Oryctolagus cuniculus: one gene and its partner. The protein of the gene in region 1 purifies or fractionates together with the protein of each later gene. This does not show direct contact. Links are inferred from orthologs where the notes say so. Each region holds a gene or a part of one and is shown in the gene's direction. Other genes may lie near its edges. The genes, in order: WWC1 and AMOT.

Evidence for each region.
Region 2: the proteins of WWC1 (region 1) and AMOT purify together in Homo sapiens (affinity purification with mass spectrometry; 3 studies listed by BioGRID and IntAct, with this or other methods). This does not show direct contact. The link is inferred for Oryctolagus cuniculus from reciprocal best matches to the Homo sapiens genes WWC1 and AMOT.

What each region holds. Positions count from the first base shown.
Region 1 is NC_091437.1:55,263,376-55,267,182, forward strand, and holds part of WWC1 (protein KIBRA), read left to right. Parts: intron 1-822; coding exon 823-1,015; intron 1,016-3,807. UniProt on the Homo sapiens protein: Regulator of the Hippo signaling pathway, also known as the Salvador-Warts-Hippo (SWH) pathway.
Region 2 is NC_091453.1:80,509,729-80,514,082, forward strand, and holds the start of AMOT (angiomotin), read left to right. Parts: upstream 1-1,268; 5' UTR 1,269-1,732; intron 1,733-4,354.

The sequences.
Region 1 (3,807 bases):
ACAGTCAGGTAGATCTCTGAGCTCAAGTGTTGCACCTAGAAAGGAGTGAGTCCTGGCTTCTCAAGGGTCAGCGCCAGTTCCTGTGCTCCCCGTGCCAGGGTATGGCTGGGATTACCGACAGGCTGATCAGCCAACAGACACCTGCACCATCTGCGTGTTGGCTCTCCCGTTGTAGACGAGGTTTGCATCTGATGGCACGCGTCTGCCTACTTGCTTCTCCTGTAACGGGACCATCCTAGGCCATAAGGGCAGCCACGGGAGCTCCTGCTTCTCTGGTCTGTACCCAGCCAGCGTCTGGGGGAGAGGAATGGCAGGGAAAGGAAAGCAGACAAAACAGAAGGAGGACGAGACTGGATGCTCGGGGGTCTTCAGTCCTCTGCAGGTGTCGGCAGTGCCGGGGTGAACATCCTTCTCCTGGTCTGTCTCACTGGTCCTTGTCCACGGTATCAGGGGGACAGTGCCTAGAAGAGAGGGCCAGCACAGCTATAGTTTTCTTGGGCTTATCGAATTCCCCTGCACAAGGAAGGTTTTGTTGCATTTGCCTCTTGGGGTAGGAGGGGCAGATTCCCCGGTGTCAGCAAGCACTGGCTGCTGCTGGCCTCGGGCTCCGGTTGTATGGAGCGGGGGATTCAGGGACAGGAAGGGCGTGCATGCCCCTCAGCGGCATATCCTGCATCGCTCACAAGTACCCGTGTAGCAACTTGAGAAATTTGCACATTCACAGCCACTGTGAATCTTGGAGATTCAGCGGCTATTTCACCCAACACAGTAGCCCCAGACCTGTGCTGACCCAAGCTCTCCTGCCACCCTGTCTCCCTGTAGGAACGTTCGCGTGGTTATCCTTCCTTGCTCCGAAAGCACCACCTGCCTGTTCCGGACGCCGCCCCTGGACGCCTCGGACACCCTGGTGTTCAACGAGGTATTCTGGGTGTCCATGTCCTACCCAGCCCTACACCAGAAGACCTTAAGAGTCGACGTCTGTACCACGGACAGGAGCCATCTAGAGGAGTGCCTGGTGAGAGCGTATCTCCGTCTGTCCCTCTGTCTTTCTAGCCTTCTAGCCTTCTGGGGATTGGTCCACCCCAGGCTGCAGAGAGAAGGCGAGAAGGAGGCCCAGGTCGAATCACCGGTCAAGTTCGTTGGCTTCTAGACAGAGATACTTTTCCTCATAAGAGGAAGAGTAGTGGGCCTGAGAGAAATGCAGGAGATGCCAGCCACAGACCACAGCTTACCTGTGCAGCATTAAGGATGAGACAAGAAACACTGAATAATGAGAACAAGCAGTTCTTCTTGCTATATAGCTGGGTGGCCTTGGGCAGTGGACTTAACATCTCTGGTGCTCTGTTTTTTCATCCATAAAATGCCCTAGTGATGCCCACTAGGGAAGTTGTTACTTGGATCCAGGGAGTCAGTACAGGAAAAGCACCTGCTGCCATGCCTGACACACAGAAGGCTCTCGTGCAGCGGGGCCCTTACTGGTCCACTCCCTGGAACAGAGCTCATGTGGCTTCCTCCCACCCACTGCACTAGCAGGAGTCAGGATCGGATATGAAGGAGCCTGGGGTCTGTGTGTGTCCTGTCCTTAGGGACCAGCAGCCACATGTACAGGTGGATGTTGGTCAGCCACCTCGTAGATGAAAGGGGGATTTATGTTAAACTCAGGGGCTTGTGACATACAAATCAAAGAAGTGAAGTCTTTGTTAGCCCTGGTGCCATTCTAGAGGATAGAGTATTTTGTTTATTTATTTATTGGTTTTGTTTTTTAAGTTTGAGAGGCTGACAGATGGAGAGAGCCAAAATAAAGCCAGCTCCCATCTAGTGGGTCACTCTCCAATGCCCAGAACAGCTAGGACCTGGATGGGCTGAAGCCAGGAGCCAGGAACTCAACCTCAGTCTCCCATGTGGGTCGCAGGAACCCAACTACTTGAGCTGTCACTGCTGTCCCCTGGGGCGCACATTAGCAGGAAGCTGGAGTCAGGAGGCAGAGCTGGGAATCAAACCTAAATACCTTTTAACTTGCCTTTTAACCACTAGACTGCATGCCTACCCTGAGACAATTTTGATGATAACTCGTGGACTCTGAGCTAAGTGCTTTAGTGTGCTGGCTCACTTCAACCTTACAAAACAGGTCATGTGTACCAGAGGGGAAACTGAGGCACACAGTGGCAAAAGACCTTCCCTGTAGTCACACAGTCAGAGAGTGGCAGGAGCCTTATTGGACTCCAGGCGGGTCCATCTCTGCTCAGGATTTCCTGGAGAGCGTCGGTGGGAGTGGAAGTGTGATGTCCAGGGTCAGGCCAGCGTGGTGGGCATTTCGGTTACAGCAGAAAGCTTTTCCACACCCAGGCGCCTCCAGTGGAGCATTTGCTCAGCCCTGGGCATTCCTAAATCCGAGGAGACTCGTGCTATTTTCTCCTCCTAATTGGATGCCTTTTATTCCTCCTTCCTAATTGAAGTCTGGCCATTGCTGGTTGCCATGGCAGCAGCCAAAGCGCTCATCTCCCTGTGGCTTGTCTCTGTCCGGGGCCAATCGGAGCTCTCCCTTTCCGTATGCCATGGGGACGTGGAGTGTCAGGCTGTCATGTTTTGGTGGTGAGAGGAAGTGAGACGGGAGGAGACAGGGATTGTCTTCTGCCACCCAGAGCCTCCCTGCCTTGTGCGTCTGCTGGGAGCCCTGTGGTCAGCCAGGCAGCAGCAGTCCCCTCACTGGGCGGCGTCTGGGTGTCTGCCCTTGGCCAGGAACTCTGTGTGCAGTATCTCAGTGCATCCTCATGGTAGCTCTGAGAGGAAGTAGTGGGGTGACCTCCCTCTGCCAAAGGCTGATTTACTTCTGCAGATCCTCCAGCAAGTCGATGGAGAAGCCAGGGTTTGTAGCTTCCTTGTGTGTAGCCACTGCACTTTCCTACCTCTTGGGGTTGCTCTGAGTGACTCTCATATCCCCTGACCCAGATCAAGGTTTTGGGGGAACATGAGGCCCGCCTTCCCTGCCTGTTGCAAGTACAGAGTATGCTCACTGTGGCTTCACAGGAGTCCTGGTTGCCCCCTGTGCACCTGCTAAGCTTTGCCACACAGCTCATGCTCTGCCCGGGCGGACCCACTGCCAGGTCTGGTTTACATTGTGATGGTTCCCCTGGCCCATCTCACATGGCCACGCTCACTGGGCCGTGTCCCAGCCCTTTCCTTCCTTTCCATCTGACGAGTGGGAACAAATGCTCACAACCCAGCTGTATGTATTGTGCTGTCTCCGTCCGTGCTGTCTACTTTCTGTAACTATAACTGAGCATCGCAGTCTGAGTCATTTGTAAAAACTAAAGGTTTATTCTGCTCACAGTTGTGCAGGCAGGGAAGTTCAAGATCAGGTAACTACACTGAGTGAGGGCTTCTCTGCTGGTAAAGACTCTGCGGAGTCCCAAGGTGACACAGTGCATCCCACAGCAGACAGAAGGTCCCGGCTGGGTCTCTCCTCCTCTTTGGATAAAGCCACAGTCCTGTTGCCTTAGGGTCCCATCCCTATGGCCTCATTTAATCTTACCACCTCCAGAGGGTCCCACCTCCAAGTACGATACTCTGCTTAAGTCTCTGTTCTCTTAGCATCTCCTAGGAGTGATGGAATTTCAGCCTGAGTTTGGTGGGAACACGCACACTGTGGCAGGCAGTGTTGGAAATTGTGATCTCTTCCTGCCCAGGGGGCCTCAGTGCTGCTCGGCAGTTAGCCTGTGTCTTCTGGAACCCTTCTCTCTCCCCCTGGTTACAAGGGCTAATGCGTGGTCTTCTCTGCCGGGGGAGAATGGAGAAGTGAGAGGAGAG
Region 2 (4,354 bases), on another chromosome or scaffold:
CAGGGCATGTCTTAATAGCTTTTATTTACAGGAAAATGAAGGCTGAGAAGTTAAGCCACTTAAAAGTCGCAAACTAGCTACTAAGCATCAGAGTCCCAGATAAATTCTTGCTATGGTTCCAAATTTCCTGTTATTCGGCTACCCCTTCACTGTTTCTCTGTGCTTTCTTTTCCCCTGATGTAAAATGGTAATTTTCGTGTCCCAGGATGATATTTTCAAACCCCCATGATCTTCAGCAATATTGATTTTTCGCAGCCAGGTAATGGGAACACCACATTGACACTGCACGCACTTTTCTCTCCTCCTGGTTTAATGAAGTAAGGAGGCAGAAAAGTTATCTACTTCTAGCGGCCTGGAGAGTGCCATAAACATAAAGGTGTACAGGGAGTCCGCAGACACATCGTCGCACTTTTACCAGACAGAAATCAAGTTTCTCATCTTTCGCTTCCCAGCAGCAGCTGCGAGAGAACAGAGCTAGACAATAGCCTCTTGTTTCGTTTTCACGAATTTTGAGGACGGGTGGGACAAAAGGATGGGACTGGCGTCTTAAGGGACCAATCGAAAACGAACCCTAAGCTAGGACTAGCCAACGGGTAACCGCAAAATAGCGGTGGGTTGGAACTTGCTTCAGGGTTCGCTCCGCCCGCCCAGCCCGTCGCTCCCAGCCCACCCTAGGGGCGGTGCCTCTGCAGGGCCCCGCCCACGCCCCCTGCCGCCTCCGAAGTTGACCGAGGGGAGGGGCGCGGGGGTGGGGTAGGTGGGGGAGCAGAGGAAGAAAAGAGGGTGTCTCGCAAAGCTGTGACCTGGGTGGAGGCCTGCTGGTAATAGGAAGCAAGAGGGGAAGGGAAAGGAAGGAACGCTGCTTCCTCGTGCCTTATTTTAGCCAGGCTTTGGTGGTAGTAGCTTTTCAGCATTTCTATTATTTGTTTCTTTTTCCTCCTGCAGTGTGGCCGGGAACTGCACTGGGTCTCCCACACGACTCGGCTGCGCTATGCCCTGAGAGTATTATTGGCCGTCTTGACAAAACCCTCTCCTTCCTCCCAGCCAGTGCCTGCGTAGGCTGTCCAAGCTGCCATAACCGAGGCACTCCCGGCAAGTGGGAGGGCAAGAGCTAGGGTCCTCCGTTACTCCCCCTCCCCCGCAAGCTCAGGGACCCAGAGTTCAATTGTTTGAAACTTCCCCGCCCCCTGCCCCGCCTGTCTTCCGCGCCCGGCCCCCCTCCCGTGGTCCAGGCCGGCTCCCACCCTTCTTTCCCCGCCCTCTACTCCGCCCCACTCCGTGGCCCACCCCCCGCTCCTGGGCGGTCCTAGCCGCTCACCGCAAGAAGAAAAGCCACCCATTCCTCCCCCTCCCCTACCTCCCATCCTTTGCCCAGGAGCTGCCTTCATCGCAGTCACGCCCCTTCCTTCCGAGGAGCTTTCTGGCTGCCTAAACGGGTAGACCCCCTGAATTACTTCTTCATCTCCTCTCTCTTTCGTCTCCTCTTAGTTCTCACCGTCTCTCCCCCACTACCACCACCTCCAGTCTATCTCGCCTCCCACCATCCGCTGCTCCACCCTCCGGCCCGGTATCCTGCCTGTCCACTGCCACCAAGGAGAGCCCGGACGGAGCAACGAGGAGGGGAGCAGCCGGGACTTGGGGCTTCCCCCCTGCCCATCCCTGGCCGTTGGCCCGGGACTGAAGCCACTTGAGCCAGCAGAGAGTCGTCACCTTGTCTTCGTTGCCTTCAGGGGTAGGAGACGCGTGGTTACTTTTTGCGGGGAGCTGGGTCAGGAATCCATGGTGGCATGAACTTGGTCGTGCCCTCGGCATGAGTGAGTCGATTTAGCTGCGTGTGGCAATGCCCATGTGTTCCACTTTCTTTACATCTGGCCGAGAGTTTTCTGGGATATGCAGCGAGTTAAATTGATTAAAGACTACTGCGCTCGTTTCCCGTCCTACTTTGGCTAGGAGATGCTAGTGGGTACCAGGACTTGGTGGTACTTAATTGACTCCTGGGGTTCTTGTAGGTCTCTAGGGTAATTAATCACCTAAGAAACTAAAGACCCAAAGAAGCTGAGCTCTACCTTCAGCCCAGCATGAATGTCTGCTCTTACCTCTGATAACTGGCTGGGCCTCTTTCAAGTGTTTAGGGTTAGGGTGGGTGCTTACACTCCCTGAGCCCGAGGGCGTGATTTCTTGAAGTTTTAAAGTCTAGAAGTAATCTGCAGTACAACGCTGCTTTCTCTCTCTCTCTCTCTCTCTCTCTCTCTCTGCTCTCTCTCTCTCTGTGTGTGTTTGTGTGTGTATGTGGTGGAGGTGGTGGTTGCTTCTAAGTGCTATTGAAAATTCAAATATATTAGAAAGCAATGTTGCACGATTGGGCAGGTACTTTGAGGGTTCACATCTGGACCACTGTAATTTGGCGCTTCAACAGTAAGATGGGCTTCATGAATGCAAGAAAATAATGAGCAGAAAAAGTGGGAGGGAAATGAGAAATTTTATAGACTGAGCTGTCCCTGGTAAATTCTCACCACTAATAATCATATATAATAATTTACACAAGGAACTAAATACAAATTAATGAGAGGAAAGAGAAGTTGGTGAGAAATGGCATTTCCAAATTTTGTGTTTGTTTTAGAATTTTCTGACAACTTGGGGTATTTAGTTCTGTTATCCTCCTTCCTTCAACATGAAGAGTGGACGTTAAGGGGCAGTTAGAAACTTATGAATATAACCTTCCTCTCCCATTCAGAGAGGAAGATAATTAGTCACCATAATCTTCAATGATGAAGGGCTAAGTGTATTTAAGTCTCCTTGAGCTAGGCTTTGTAAAAAGTTCTTTCTCAGGCCAGCCTTTGTGAAGCCTTCTCAGTTAGACCTTTCAGCACCCTCATTTAGTAGCTAAGAATAGTTTGAAATGCCATTTTGGATGTGGGATAAATTTTCACCCATCTTTCACCTATCTTCAATTGGACAAGGGTGTCAAGTTTATGAGAATTGGGGCATTCAGATATCCCCAACCTGTGACTTGTTTGGGAACAAATTACTTACATTTTAAAATAAATTCTTTGGTTGGTTTTAATGGAAGAAAAGAAAGCAGGAAGGTGGAGCAGGAACGTTACATGGAGATGATTTTAAAGACTATCAGGTTTCAGATCAGCTGGGAGGGAAAGCTTACTTAACCAAACTACATTTTGTAACTGCCTAGGACATTTTAATAGCCAGGTGGTTGTAGAGTAGTTGCATCTATTTACAGAGGATACCTCAAGTTCCAGCTATTCTGTATGGGTTTATCCGGTATCATTTACAGACATTCTGGCACTACATCATAATTCATTTGGAGTTCTTTGTTCTTCGGAAAAGTTTGTAGCTCTGTAAAATTGAAAGTGCATTTTTCTAACTTCACAATCTAGATGTGAAGTCAATCTCTGACCACATTTCTGTGTAGAGTAACTTTTACGTGAGAGTTGTAGATCTGTTTACCTATTGAAAGAGATTTTTAGAAAGCAAACAGTCAAAATTCATATTCAATACTGTGTTGAGTTTGGAAATTAAAATCTCATTTCTGGTTTATGAAGTATAGTTTATTTGACTAATGAATAACTAGGGAATTCTGTGGAGTTGCTTTCTCTGAAGTTTTGTAAAGAATGAATCAGATTCTCTCTAGGATGCTTTAAGAACTTCTAATCAGAAGGCAGAGGGATGGATGCTATGACTTTGAGATCCCATTGAGTGCCAGAATTCTAAGTGGGTACATCTGCTTCTGGGCCTCTCCTGAGAGCCCTCTCCCAGGGCCTGTGCCTTCTTTAAAAGGGTGTCTTTGTAATTAAGCAGCCCCTCTTTCCCCCATCCCCCTTTTTCTCTTTGATCCAGCTTTTTAAGGCATTTTCCCCCCATTTGGAGACAAGAGGAGTTTCTCACACCCTCCTGCTCCCCTCTTAGCGTTTCTTTTCCTTTACCCCAGAAAAATTCCCTGAAGTTCTCAGGATGATTCAAAGTTGTTTTGTTTTGTTTTGTTTGGGGGAGGGTTAGGGAGGGGTGGGATGGGGGGGATTGTTATCAATGAAGAAGAGTAGAGGATATATTCCCTCTTGGGAAATGCTTGTGACCAGGTAGCCTCCTCCATGGAGACTGAGCATTTGGAATGCATGAGAACAGTCTATTCTTTAGGACTGTCTGGTAGAAATTGTCCTTTGCACCCATTAAACACAGCTTAAACCCACTGAAAGGGGTGGAGAGAGGTGTGTGTGGTCCAGGCCAGGCCTTTTGGGATGGTAAATGGGTAAATGTTTCCAAATCTCCTATTACATCACCTCTGTCTCCCATGGATTCAGTAAGTTTAGAGAACTGCTTGACAAGTTAATTAGCTGGG